Caenorhabditis elegans: one gene and its partner. The protein of the gene in region 2 purifies or fractionates together with the protein of the main gene of each other region. This does not show direct contact. Each region holds a gene or a part of one and is shown on either strand. Other genes may lie near its edges.

The links.
Region 1: the proteins of yap-1 (region 2) and egl-44 purify together in Caenorhabditis elegans (affinity purification with western blotting, with the first as the bait; one study listed by BioGRID). This does not show direct contact.

The regions. Positions count from the first base shown.
Region 1 is NC_003280.10:5,931,938-5,939,556, reverse strand, and holds the start of egl-44 (TEA domain-containing protein), read right to left. Parts: upstream 6,021-7,619; coding exon 5,976-6,020; intron 3,117-5,975; coding exon 3,073-3,116; intron 2,986-3,072; coding exon 2,892-2,985; intron 2,641-2,891; exon of another isoform or gene 2,620-2,640; intron 2,511-2,619; exon of another isoform or gene 2,505-2,510; coding exon 2,306-2,504; intron 1,021-2,305; coding exon 872-1,020; intron 820-871; coding exon 636-819; intron 580-635; coding exon 204-579; intron 148-203; coding exon 39-147; intron 1-38. UniProt on the Caenorhabditis elegans protein: Transcription factor. Binds to DNA sequence motif 5'-CATNNNNAAATGCAT-3' as a heterodimer with egl-46.
Region 2 is NC_003284.9:10,689,957-10,695,473, reverse strand, and holds yap-1 (Yes-associated protein homolog 1), read right to left. Parts: upstream 3,532-5,517; 5' UTR 3,527-3,531; coding exon 3,374-3,526; intron 3,066-3,373; coding exon 2,997-3,065; intron 2,952-2,996; coding exon 2,830-2,951; intron 2,785-2,829; coding exon 2,724-2,784; intron 2,677-2,723; coding exon 2,576-2,676; intron 2,531-2,575; coding exon 2,325-2,530; intron 2,069-2,324; coding exon 1,773-2,068; intron 1,720-1,772; coding exon 1,612-1,719; intron 1,352-1,611; coding exon 1,229-1,351; intron 1,184-1,228; coding exon 1,094-1,183; 3' UTR 501-1,093; downstream 1-500. Other genes in the region: plpp-1.3 (Phosphatidic acid phosphatase type 2/haloperoxidase domain-containing protein), read right to left, coding at 1-10, 57-155. UniProt on the Caenorhabditis elegans protein: Plays a role in thermal stress response and in aging.

The DNA.
Region 1 (7,619 bases), on a different chromosome or scaffold from region 2:
CCGATTGTACATTGCCGCTTAGCTCATAATATTCGTACCTCTATTTTTTCAACTGCCTGGTTTCCAAATGAGCAAGCCATTGTTGAGACCTTTAATTGGAATTTTTCACGACTTGAGTAGAACGAGTCGACTGCGTATTGACAGTTTCTAAAAGGTTTTCTTTGAGTCAAAACTAATTATCAATCACATTCAATATAACTTACTGTACATCATCCGAAACATTAATATTTGCCCAACACTTTGCAAGGAAGAAGACATCCTTTTTCTCGGATTTCTCGAACAATTCTCGAAGTAATTTCGGATATTTTTCGTAAAATACAGAAATGTCAATATCATCTTTTTCCAGTGTATTCTCAATCTTCACGAGTTCTGTCCTTAAACTTGTCTTATTACATTTGACATATGCGGAGAAGCTGTGAAGTGTTAATTGTGAAGAAGCGATTGGTTTCGTTTCTTCTACAACTTCTGATTTCACAGGTGAAACTGTTTTGTCGGGAGAGGATTGTTGGAAAACAAGTTGTGATAGATCCATTCCGATAGGTAATCCAGGAGTTTGTTGGAATGACCACAAAGGAAGAGCTGGAAACATGAGAAAATTAGTTTGATGCAATAATTGTATCGCATAAAAAACTAACATTTAAATAGTTGTTGGGAGATTTGATCGGTTTCCACTTTTGGCACAATTGATGAGTAGCTACTTTGTGGAGAAATTTCAGTGATTGCAGCGACAGCTGCGGAAACAGGCGGAAATACTACAGCTGATGGAGATTTAACTCCTCCTGGAGGTGAAGCTTGTTGAAGAAGACTGGGAATATCACCCTGAAAAGTTTTCAATATGAATTTCAGTTAGACATATAGTAAATTAAACTACCGTATTCAGATGAAAAGGTACCTTCTTTTTTGCTTGTTCGTCTCTGAGCTTTTTCCTAGCAAGTACTTGAATATGTGATGACACTTGTTTCCGAGTCCTCGTTTTTCCACATCGCAATTTGATATACCTAGCGATTAGTTCGTTCCTTCCTGAAAATATATATACATATAAAATTCAAACAAGTAAATGAATGTTGCTCATAATGAAATCAGAATGTGGGAGGAGGAAGAAATAATCAGGTAACGAACAGGTGAAAAATTCAGGTCTGACGATGGAATAACTAAAATAAGGGTGACGTCGACTTGAAAGATTCTATGTTAAAAAAAGATTTCACGAATCAAAGTGGAAATTGTTAAAATTTAAGATTAAATTCTGTATTTTTCTATAGGACTATTATTTAATTGGCTAGACTAATAGGGAGATCAAGATTATTTTTAAAAAATACTGTATTGAAAACTTGAACCCTCTTAATTATATTTGCGTATCAATTATCACCCCACCCAAATTTATCACATAAATTAAGTGAGTAAAGACTATGGAATTTTCTCTGATAACATTATGTTTTCCGGTAATTTTTACGAAATAAAAGCGGATCAAACTGATAACCGTAGTAACGGGCATTGTTAAGAAGTCTAACAAAATTGCTGTTCTACAGTAGTCTCAAAACAGCGTCTGTGTAACTTTTAGTTGTCATCATTGTGGAAAAAGGTTTCTTTTTTTTTGAAAATCAAACAAATGTGCAAACTCTTTTTGTTTGTTACTGCCGGGCACTGCGCAGACAGTATTCGTGTTTTATGACGTGGCAGAGCACAAAGTCCAGCGAGAGCAGTTACAGACACGCTACGTTTCTGATATTCCTCAATATTTATAATTCTGATAATTTTAGTTTTTATTTTAAAATTTCCAGAGGTTTTTCTATTTTAAAATAAAATTTGAAATCTAATTTCAATTTTAAATTTTAAATACTTTAACCGACAGCTGAAAACGTGATACTTTGGGATACTTCGGTAACCCCCTAATCACATTTTCCTAACAAACTATGTTCCAACATCTAATCTAACGATTTGTTGATTTTGGTTGCGCGGGAGGGTCAAAAAGTCAAGACTTAGAGAGAGAAAGAGCCGCCCGTGGTTTCCCGCAGCGAAAATAAACAAATACAAGGAATATGGAGAAGTGGCACGGAAAGGATGGAAAGATGGTCTCTACTAATCCCGTAGTACCTTCTACTCTCTTCTTTTGTCGGTTTCTGTCTGCCGGTTCAATCCGTTTACATCATAATAATAATAAATATTAGAAAGAAAAGTCAAATGGAAAAGAAGTTTCTATCCCATGGATATGGGCAGATGTTCAATGAAGGCAGATGCACAGTAATGTGAATGTATTCATTCTTCTACCACTTGTATGACTCCAATTATGTATAGACAGTTCACTCACCATACATTTTCCCTTCGTCACTGATGATAATTTTCCTTCGTCCACAAGGTGGATAGATGGCTAACGCTTCTTGAAATGCTTGATCAATGTCTATACTCCACACACCTTCCGCGTCACCAGACAAGTCGGAAAGGGAAGAAGTCGATTCGGGAGCCATTGAGCCAGCGGAACCTGGTCCGTCACCGGCGGGAGGGGAGAGCTGAAATCCATGTTTTAGGATAAAGAAGTGTCTGATTGGGAATTTGAAGCTGGTATCAGAAGGGGTTGAAACTTGAGCTCAAAGAACGCTAAAAGGCTTCAAACTTGAGCAATGAGGTGCAAGACAATTAGATGAAATACTGTATGTATATTCCAATTCTAAAATATAAGATTTGAAATAGTTTTTGTTTTGAAAAGTATTTCAGATATTTTGCAAAATCAATCACTGTTCTCTAGTTTTCACTTATGATTTTTTTTTAAATCATATTTTAATGGCATAAATTTCTAGCTTTTAAAAATTGTGATAAACTTTTTTTTCATCAAAAGATTTTAAGTCAATAAAATCTCAATGGGAAGAACTCGAAAAAAAAATTGTTTTATCACAAACCGTCATCATTTGTCCGCCAGAGGTCGTCGTGGGCGTTGTCGTTCCTGCTGCTCCAGCGAGCCACTCTTTTCGAAAATGATTATGGGGCGGGGTTCTGCAATGATGGGACACTTTAGTTCTATTCATCTATTCATATTCTGACACCTTCTGACTCCGCCCTGCCCAACAAAATTCAACTTACCCATTGAGAATTGTTTGCGCCGTGACTGCTACGTCTTCCGACATCTGAAATGCAAAAAAGTTGAACGAAATCTACCGTAATCCATCAAAAAAGTGAATGGCAGGCAAGAGAAGATATGGAAAAAATCTTGAGCTAAAAGAGTTTAGTTTTTCGGTTTTCACCCCGTGTTCGGTATCTAAAATTACGATCTCTAACTGAAGAGCATAGACCTTAGAGATTGAGAGCTTTTGCTTAAAAGATGAGAAAAATGTGATAATGTCTAAAGTGTGACGTGGCATTTATGTCCGGGGTACTGAAAGTTTGGTCATGTGATAGGTAGAGAAGAGGAATAGGCACGTAAAAGGAAATTGATAAGAAGACAGGTAACTGTTGTGCGTTTTTTTTCTGTGGGAGCAGAAAAAAACGGACAAAATCAAATCAACAAGGAGGAAAAATCGATGATTGTGAATGCTGAATCATCATCAATGCTTAATGCAATTGCAGAAAAAACGTCTGAACTGAAAAATGTATGTTCGTGGTTTTCAGGGTGGGAAAAGAAAGAGAAAAGAAAAGACCAACGTCTTCATTGTTTCATTTCAGACGGTCATGTCAAATGTGAAATAAAATAAATAATTGGAATATGCAGAAGAAATGTAGAAGCTGAGGTCATTTGTTTTTTGTAGAGGTTGTTGTCATGGCAACCAATTTTGTAAGATTTTTCAGAATTGTTACTCAGTTATCTTTTGAAAACAGTTTAAAAAATATTTTTTCAAATTTTGAATTTCCATAAATCAATCTTTGTCGATGAAAACAATTATGGCGGAATTTTTCCATTTATTCCGGATTTTAAAGCAATTTTTTCAAGCCGAATTTTCTAGATTTTTTGAAAAATATTTTTGAGATCTAACTTGTTAAATCCAACTCAACATTGGAAGTTTCTGTTAAAATTTTTCAAACTAGCGAACGCAGACGGTTTCGCATTTTTCCAACACGCTTTTTTTTTGTTAAACAAATAAACCAGACTAAACAAGGAAAACCTCGAAGATGGATGGCAGGTGGGAAAGGGACTAATGGAATAATTAGTGATACTTAATGAACACATAGGAGATATGATGGAATCAGGAAATAAAGTAGAAAAAAAATGATAGACACTTTCAAGAAGGAGATGAAGAAAAGAAATAAGAGAAGCGTTAAGGATGACGCATCGGATCGTCCAGATCGACAAACGAAAAGAGATGAGAAAAAGATAAAAGAGACGGAGGAAAACGAATGGAAAATGATGAAGAAGGAACGGCGGGTTGGAAGTATGGATTCAGAGAAAAGAGAGTGATCAGTACCGTGAAGTCGTTATAATCATGTTGTAGACTTAACTTCTAAAAGAGATTATCCTAAAAAGAATTGAGGGCAAACTGTATTTTGGGCAGGTAGTCTAGGTTGGTAAAATTATTTGGTGCATTATGAGCTTTGACATTTTTATATTGTTTTCTATTTCATAATAGGTAAAGTAATTAATCAGTGTTTTTTTTTAATTTAAAAATTTCACTGAAACCTCATCAATCAACATAATGTACATTAATTAAAAACTCCGTTTTAAACAAGTGGCGATTTCTCTATTTTTGCAATCCACAATTTTGTAAGTCGGCCGAAAAATAATTAATTTTTACTACAAATTATATGATTTAATTATGTATTTCAATATTGTAGAAGAGCAAACATGTGGTATTTTTCTAAATTTTTTAAAATACTAAAGTTTTGTTTAAAAATTTGGAGCAATTCCGACTTTTATTTGCAATAAAACAGTATCAAAACTTCGAAAACAACTTTCTCAAAAATATGTATAAAATTTTTTAACTAAAAAAATATTAACACATTTGGAAATAAATATTCACTTGCAGTAAAATAAAATTTACTACCAACCATCTGCAAGCAACTTATTATAATATTTACAAATCTGCTCTTATGGGAATACTACTACTAATTATGCAAATATTCCGAGATTGGTTCAAAAAACATGTCAACTCGAGATCTATGTCATCTCATTTTGATTGACTATCCCTGGTTGCTTCTTCCTAGGTTAATTACTCCTGCTTTTGCATTCGGAGGTCTTTTTACTGTTGTCAGTTATTCAAATTAGGTTGAGATTTGAGAATATTGAGTCATTGGATACAGAGAAAATAGAGAATTGTTTGAAGGGATGCTTCAGGAAGAAAAGAGTCATGAAGGCGGAAAGAAAACAAGGTGGATATATGATGATAGGAGACAGCCAGCTGTTCAACTAATCGATAAAGTGATAAGAACCTCGAGACTTAGAGTGTCATAGGGAACTCTGTCTATCATTTCATGTTATTCGAGACAAGAAACTAGGCGATCTACACAACAGTGATATTGCGCCAAAAGACAGTCTCTTACTTCTTCCCCCAATATGGTGACCTTCTCGACGAAACAGTACAGGACTACGACGACGAACCCAGCCACCTTGACAGATATTACCGAAAAAAGTAATCAAAAGCGAAAGATAGTGTGGATGTGGAGGAGTGTGTGGGGCGCTAATTCGGATAAATTGGTAATTGGAGGAGTATGGTTAGTTATCTGAACAAGGACAAATGGGACACCTCATTTACGGTTTGTGGTTTTTTTTCAGTTAAGTGCTGACAAAAACAAAGAAAATATTTACATATTTTTCAAGTTTTTATTTTCTAAATACATACAAATTTCACTTTAAGTTGTTTTTGCAACTAAAACCTTATTTCAAAAAAAAAATCAAACTTCCTATCAAATCAATAGAACCAGTTTGTTCATGTGACATATTGTCACGTTCTATAGGTAAACTGCAACGTGGAATATAAAAACTTCTAGAATCGGCTGACTAAGACATCGTGCTTTTCATCAGAATATTTGAATGAAAACAGGTTAAAATATATCACCTGCGGCAGCGCTTGTTGCAACTCTGAACAAAACATTGAGTTCATAATCTTTGAAATAAGAACTGGGTACGCGAGGGAATACGGTAGTCTGGAAAAGTATATAATGCATTCTACAAATATGTACAACAAGGAATTACCGGTAAAATCGAAGAAGAATAGAGACGGGGCACGAATCGAGGAAATAATGGAATGGTATGCTGGAGAAAAGGGGGGAAGTGAAGAAATGCAGATGGCAGTCCCTTCTACGGTCAATCCACCCCTCGCGCTCCCGGTTGGGGACACAAACGGACAGATGGTTTTCTAATGGAGTGGATATTTGTGAAGAGTGTATAAAATGAGGAGAGCTCAGAATATGCAATGGTAGAGCACATACTTGTGTATGTGCATAGGCAGGCATACAATCTATCACATTACTGTATTACCCACAACGAAGCCTGCGGGCGTTCAATTGGTTCTTTAATCAACGGAATGAGGTGAGAAGAGAGAGGGAGGAAATTGGGGATAAGCATGAAGAAGGTAAAGAGGATATATTACACAATTATAATTGCACAATATAATCGCTTCCATGGAGGTATATTCAAATTCTGAATTTTTTGTCGCGGTAAAGAGTTTTGGTAAATTCCCAAATTGATGTTTACAATTTCTCCACTCAATTTCACCTCTTCACCAAAACCGAAATCTAGACTACTTTAGAGAAAACCAACATGCTCATAATTATGTTAATTCTGCTCTGAAATAAATTATCAAATTATGCAGTCCGCAAAAAAGTCTGCTGCAAATATATATTTTTACTGGTGCAATACATACAACCCTATCAATTTTTTCAAGTTATGGAACAACTGCAAAAAAATTTTGTAAAGTAAAATACATTTACTTCACTTTTTCAGACTAGCTAATTTATCAATAAATATTAAATTGACAAAAGATCAGAATTTAAATCCAGACTCATCAATCGTCGACACCTTTCCATTATCTCTCATCAATTCAGGTCATCACGCGGTCGGATGCTTCTTTCTCTCTTATCACTAGTTCTCTAATTTTCAAATCAATCCACGTCAAAGAAATGACGTCTTGTCGTCTCGAGATGCGAACTCTATTATTTTCTCACTTTTTGCTGATGCTCCATTTGTTTTTTTTTTCAGACAAAAAATACTCTAGCGAAAACAACAAACATATTAATTGAAAGTGTAAAGGAGGAAAACACAAGATAACATAAACCATTCATACTGTAACTAATCCAATTTGGTAATAAGGTAGAAGTAGAAGTACTTCAAACCATTTCCTATCATCATGCCATTAGAAGAATAAGACGAAGACGTCAAGAATCAAGTGGTGACTAATATTAAGTGATGACGTCATACATATCCTTCATATTCAATGGAGCACGTTTGATAAAATGGATTTTCAAAATTATGGTAGTGATAAGAAAATGGAAAGAGACGGAGAGAAGAAAACGGGAGAAACGTAAGAAAAAGACAGTAAAAAAGTCATGTTCGTGTCAATCATGTGCACACTTCTCTAGGTTAAACATTATTTCCGTCTGGGAAAATATAGATTTTAGGGTTAAAACAATTGGTGTAGATGTTGTAAGTTCAAACTAAAAATATAAATGTGAGGTTTGAAACAAAATCATAATAAAAATTA
Region 2 (5,517 bases):
AAATTCCTCCCTGCAGTACAAATTTCTATTAATACTAACAAAACATTTTGATATACCTTCACAATTGCAGTTTTCCTATCAATTTCTTCTTCTTCCTCCTTGAAACGAAGCAATCTACCACTAAAAGTTGTTCTTCGAAGCGCTCGTTCTGACATTTCTATTCTGAAATTTTTCCTAAATTATTACATTACAAATAAATTGAAAAATAGAACGTAAAATGAAATGAAACAAAAAAAACGACATCGGTAAAATAATAAAATGGGGAGGGGTATAGTGGAGCGTGTTTGCACACTCCAACTGATGCGTGGTGGTGACGTCAGGAGAGGAACGCTCTGTAGCCAAACACAATATACAACGTGTGCATAAATTGAGAAATCGATAAATTGTTTATTTGGAACCTTGAATAGCAGAAGTCAGAAACTGTTAGGCATATTTTAAAAAGTTTCAGAATACACAAATCAACAATCGTACATGATATCAAAAAAATGCTTGATGATCTCTTCCATTTTGTCTTATTTTATTTAAGTGTAATTAGACGTAGAACAAAAAAAGAAAATTTGAGCGGAAAATACAGAAAAATCACATCACAAAGGTATTTTGAACTAAATTGCAGCTAATTGTGGAAGAAAGGAATTGGTGACTCTAATATGGTAAAGCAACTGAATTCATTTGGAGTTTTTATTCAAGAAAGGTTGAAAATTCTCTTTTCAGATCCATTAAGTAAATCAAAGTAAGTCAAAAAAATCAAAAAGTCAACTTTTTTAATCGATAAATTTCTTTTTGGCAACTTTTATGATTAGGAAATTGTTAAGGTTCACTACTGAATGACTACGTTTTTGCAGGGGAAATTTCAAAGAAAGTATGGACAAACATTGATAATGCAGGTATTGGAAACGGGGTTGAGCACATGATCACATATAATAAGGAAACAATTGAAAAACTTTCTGATGAATCTTCAAGTTTCAAATTTCAAATCACAAGTCGCTATAATCTAGACACAGGCACGTTTTAGAGAGAGAGAGAGAGAGAGAGAGAGAGAGAGAGAGAGAGAGAGAGAAAGAGAAAGAGAGTGGTTATTCTGCTGATTAGACATTTATTGATAATGGTGCACCATTGATCCCACTCCTCGATTGTTATCGTTGCTAATTTGTAGATACTGGTCGAATTCGTGTGGATTGATATCCTGAAATTAGTCTAAATAATTGAGTATAATGAAAAAAAAACAAACATCGATTACATAATTGCTAGGCATATTATTATGCATATGTGGTTGATGCTGATGTTGTAGTTGCTGGGGGTGTGATACCATGGAATAATCGACTTCCATCGCACTGTCGTCGTTCATTTGACTCTGAAAAATATGTTTTTGATTTGTTCTCAAAGATAAACTTAAGTAATTATTAATATCAATTTGAGCTGTAACTTCAGCCGTTCCTTTAATTATTAGATATTATTAGATAGTCTTGGTTAAAGCATTATCAACAAATAATGGCTTTTTTTTTTTTGAATTTAAGGCACGTTTTAGAGAGACTTCAAAATTTTTCAGCTTACAAATGTCATAAGATTGGACAATTACGAATTTCTCATTTTACATCATAATAAATATCTTACATTTTGGTATTGATTTGGGATCTGGTGCAATGTATGCGGTGTCTGTTGTTGTTGAGAGTTTTGAGCCTGTTGTTGTTGTTGGTACATGAAATTTGGATCATGAGAATGCTGTAATTGGTTATACTCAATTAAATTTGTTTTAGTATCTTAAGAACAAATACCATCATAGTTGATGACATGGGGGAAATTGCTTGATATGGTGGTTGCGGACTGTCGACAAGTCCAGAATTGATCAGCTGCGCGTTCTTCTCTTGAATCATCATTCGTTCGTTTTGTAACTGCTGAATATAATCCATTTGCTGCTGAGAAGAGTATTGTGGTTGTGGATGATTGGGAATCATCTGCTGGTGCTGATGAATTGAGGGCAATGATCGAGACGAGTGTCCATTGTCGTAACAATTATTATATCGGTTTTGGCCAATGTTTTCTCCTAATCCAAAACCAGTTTGTTCTTGTTCTGAAAGTTGAAATAAATTAATATTTAATGTGAACAGATTGTAACCTTAGTTATTTATACTAATTTTTCTGAAGAAAAACAGGGTATAACAATCAGTGAAAACGTGTAGAAATGTTTTCTAGTATTGTCAGAAAAAACAGAGCTATATATGAATAAGACTCAGTAAAATGTTCGATGAAAATAGAGATTTTCAAAATATTTTATAAATATTTTGCAAACTTTTTTTGTTTCATCGTATGTTATAAATAAAACTTACGTTTTAGCCTAGGATCATCCCACGTTGTTGTTTTTGAGTTATGATCCTTAAAGTACCGAACTCCATCACTGTCGTAACACATTTCCCATCCTTGGGGCATGGGTAACTGCTCAACATCCTGTGGTGTCATAAATGGCCTTCTCATTGGGTCTAGCGATAAGCTCTTTTCCCGATTTTGTTGCATCATTCCTTGTTGTTGTGGTATTCTGAAGTTGATATTAGAAATGAAACAGAAATATTCTATGGCATACTCCGAGAGTCCTGCATATGAGTAATTTGCTTCATGAGATACTGATTTTACGTGAGAAGGTACTGGAGAGTAGCCAATAGTCATTGGTAATGCAGAAACACTCTGTAAAACTCTTTTTTAGTTTAATCAACAATCATAGTTTTTCTCACTTTTGAGTGTTGATGGTGGACATTGTGATGAGATGGATGTGGTACTGTTGCGGAAGATTGGCTACAAATATTTGTGATTTGAATTGTCTCAAAATAAATCGTTTACCCATTATTAACACTCGTATGAAGGTTCGGTGCACTGACTTGTCGTGTGTGAATCGGTGCTTGGTTTGATACCATATCCATAGCTGGGCTGACGGCTGTTCGACTACTTTCATCTACTGATCCCTGAAATTTCACCCGGTGTGTTATTCTTCAAAAATTTAAACTTACATAAGGGGAATGTGCACTGCTTCCCGGATTCCGCTTCTGATGGTAATATGATGAAGGTAGTGGATTTTTCTGAAAGTTGAAACGAGGCATGTGATTTTCAAAAAAAAAACAACTTTTTGCATATCCATTAAACCAAATTAATTATTATCCTTGTTTTGCGATATACCCCATTATCAACTGTAAAATCAAACTGTTACAAAAGTGTTGCGAAATAAGTAGCTTCTTTGTCAATTAAGGCAAGTGTGACGCAATCAAATAATAATTCTTGTTTCGTACGAACAATTTGACCCGTAAAAACAATTTGAGTGTAATGAAATGTGATCTCAATTTTTTTCAGTTCTATTATAGTTATATTATTTTTTAGAATTTGAACAAACCTTTTGATTTTGATTTTTTTCATACTTTTTTTCTGAGCATGAAATTAAAGCATGAATACTCTGATTTGGATCTAAATAATGATGCACTGAGAATTGGTTTTTATCTTGCTGTGAATTTTCTTGGTGCTTCTTATGAATGCTCTTGGACGCCATCCAGCCTGCAAAAATTGTATTTAGATGTGAATAAATGAAAAATTTGAAATAGTAACAAAAAATGAAGAATGTGAAATCAAGAAACAAGGTGAATCGTGCAAGGAACGAAAGAACGAAGGCAATAGGAAACCAATAATAATGTGTTACAAGATGGAAAAAAGGCAAAAAAACGCGAGAGAATAGTTGGGAGGACATGAAGATCGGAGGCGTTTCCATCCCTCACATCCGGCAAATAAAACATGATGGACAGACACCATTTCAATTTCAGTAAAATGGAATAAGGCAGCAAGAAAAAATAAATAAAACGAAACAACTAAGATCGAAACAACAACAAAAGTTCTCCCGATGCTTCTTCTTTCTCGATCGTTCGCCCCCGCCACGGATGTAAAAGGTCAGTTTTTGTATATAAACGAGAGGAAACGAGAAATAGAAAGGAAAACTAGAGGAAAAGTAAAGGGGGGGGGGGGAGTGACAGTTTAATACAATTGCAACCGAATCAGAAGGAGACGTCGACTTGAGGTGCGAGAGAAGATAGGAACACGAAATCGTGTGTCTAGAAGGTCAACCAATTGTTCGTGTATGTGTGGTGCGACTGATGCCTCCACCTTCTTTTCCTCTATTTTCCCCCACTACTCCGTCGTTCTTCCCAATAACTTATTATGATCAGTTCAGAGATAAGAAAAAAGATGGACTGATCCGACCGCAGGATTGTAACACTCGGAATCTGGGAAGAGTTGAAAGCTATCATCTACTACTGGAAACCCTAGCTGTGGAATAATTGAAAAAGTGCTTTTCACAATAAATTACATTGTACAAATTGATTAAAATAGATTGAGACAACTGCAATAAAAATATTTTTCAAACTAAATTGTTATGTTTTTTGAAAATTTGTTTTTAAGTTTTTCAAAGAAATTAACATTTTCACAGACCAAAAATAAAAGCTGTTGACAATATAATCAAATTGGAAACAATACGTGTTATAAAGGTAATTGCGCTTGATAATGAAGTTGATTAAACATAACTGGAACGACTGTCTTGAGATATGTACTTTCCTAACTAAAAGCTTAATTATCTTAATTTGAATTTTAATATGGCTCGCCATGAATTGTTTTATTCCCGGCATCATCAGTAAATAAAATGAATCAGATCGGTCAAGTTCAGTACTCACAAAAAAATCGGAAGCCAATAACTGGTCTCTAAAGAATTTCAGGACGCTCTGGGGATCCCTAAAGTTTTCACAAAATTTGTTTTATGAAATTTGATATTTGTTAATTTTTAAAATAATTTTAATTTCAAAATAAAATTTGTATTCTTTTGAGAAATTTCATAACATTCGGTTTTTTTTGAAATATAAAAAATATACAGAGGTCTATAAAAGTTACACAATGGTTTATTACACCTAACTTTTTTGATACTTATTGATAAAGTTTTTGGAACGGCTTATTTGAATGGTATCAACAGTTTTCTGAAAAAAAAACAATTATCAAAAAGAAGTGCAACTTAAAACAGAAGGTTGGGCTGTAGAAGTTGAACGCACCGTTCAACATTTGAATGTACAAGTGTTGAACTTCCTCAAAAATCTCAAAAAATAAATTTATTTGGAAACAATTTTCTATTTGTGCTACAAATTTAAAACTCAATAATAAATACTATTGGAGGCTCAAAAGTTGAACAAAAACCCATCCTTTACGTCACCAAACTTTTCAACAAATCAAGATGAAATGTTTCCAAAACGTAAAGAGTCGCAGAGTCTCGATCCTTTTAGAACTTATGTTTGTACTGGGTGTTACATACAATGCCACAAGTAGTGCACAAACAAATACGCCGTTCGCCTCTCTTTCTTCTTCATCTTCTTCGACTTTCCCTTCGATGGCTAACATCGTAGTCCGTTCCGAACTGATTGAACCGAAGTGAGATAAACAATCAAGTTGACCACAACATCTTCTAACGTTTTTTTTTTTTGCTGTGACTGATCACACTCTTTTATAAGT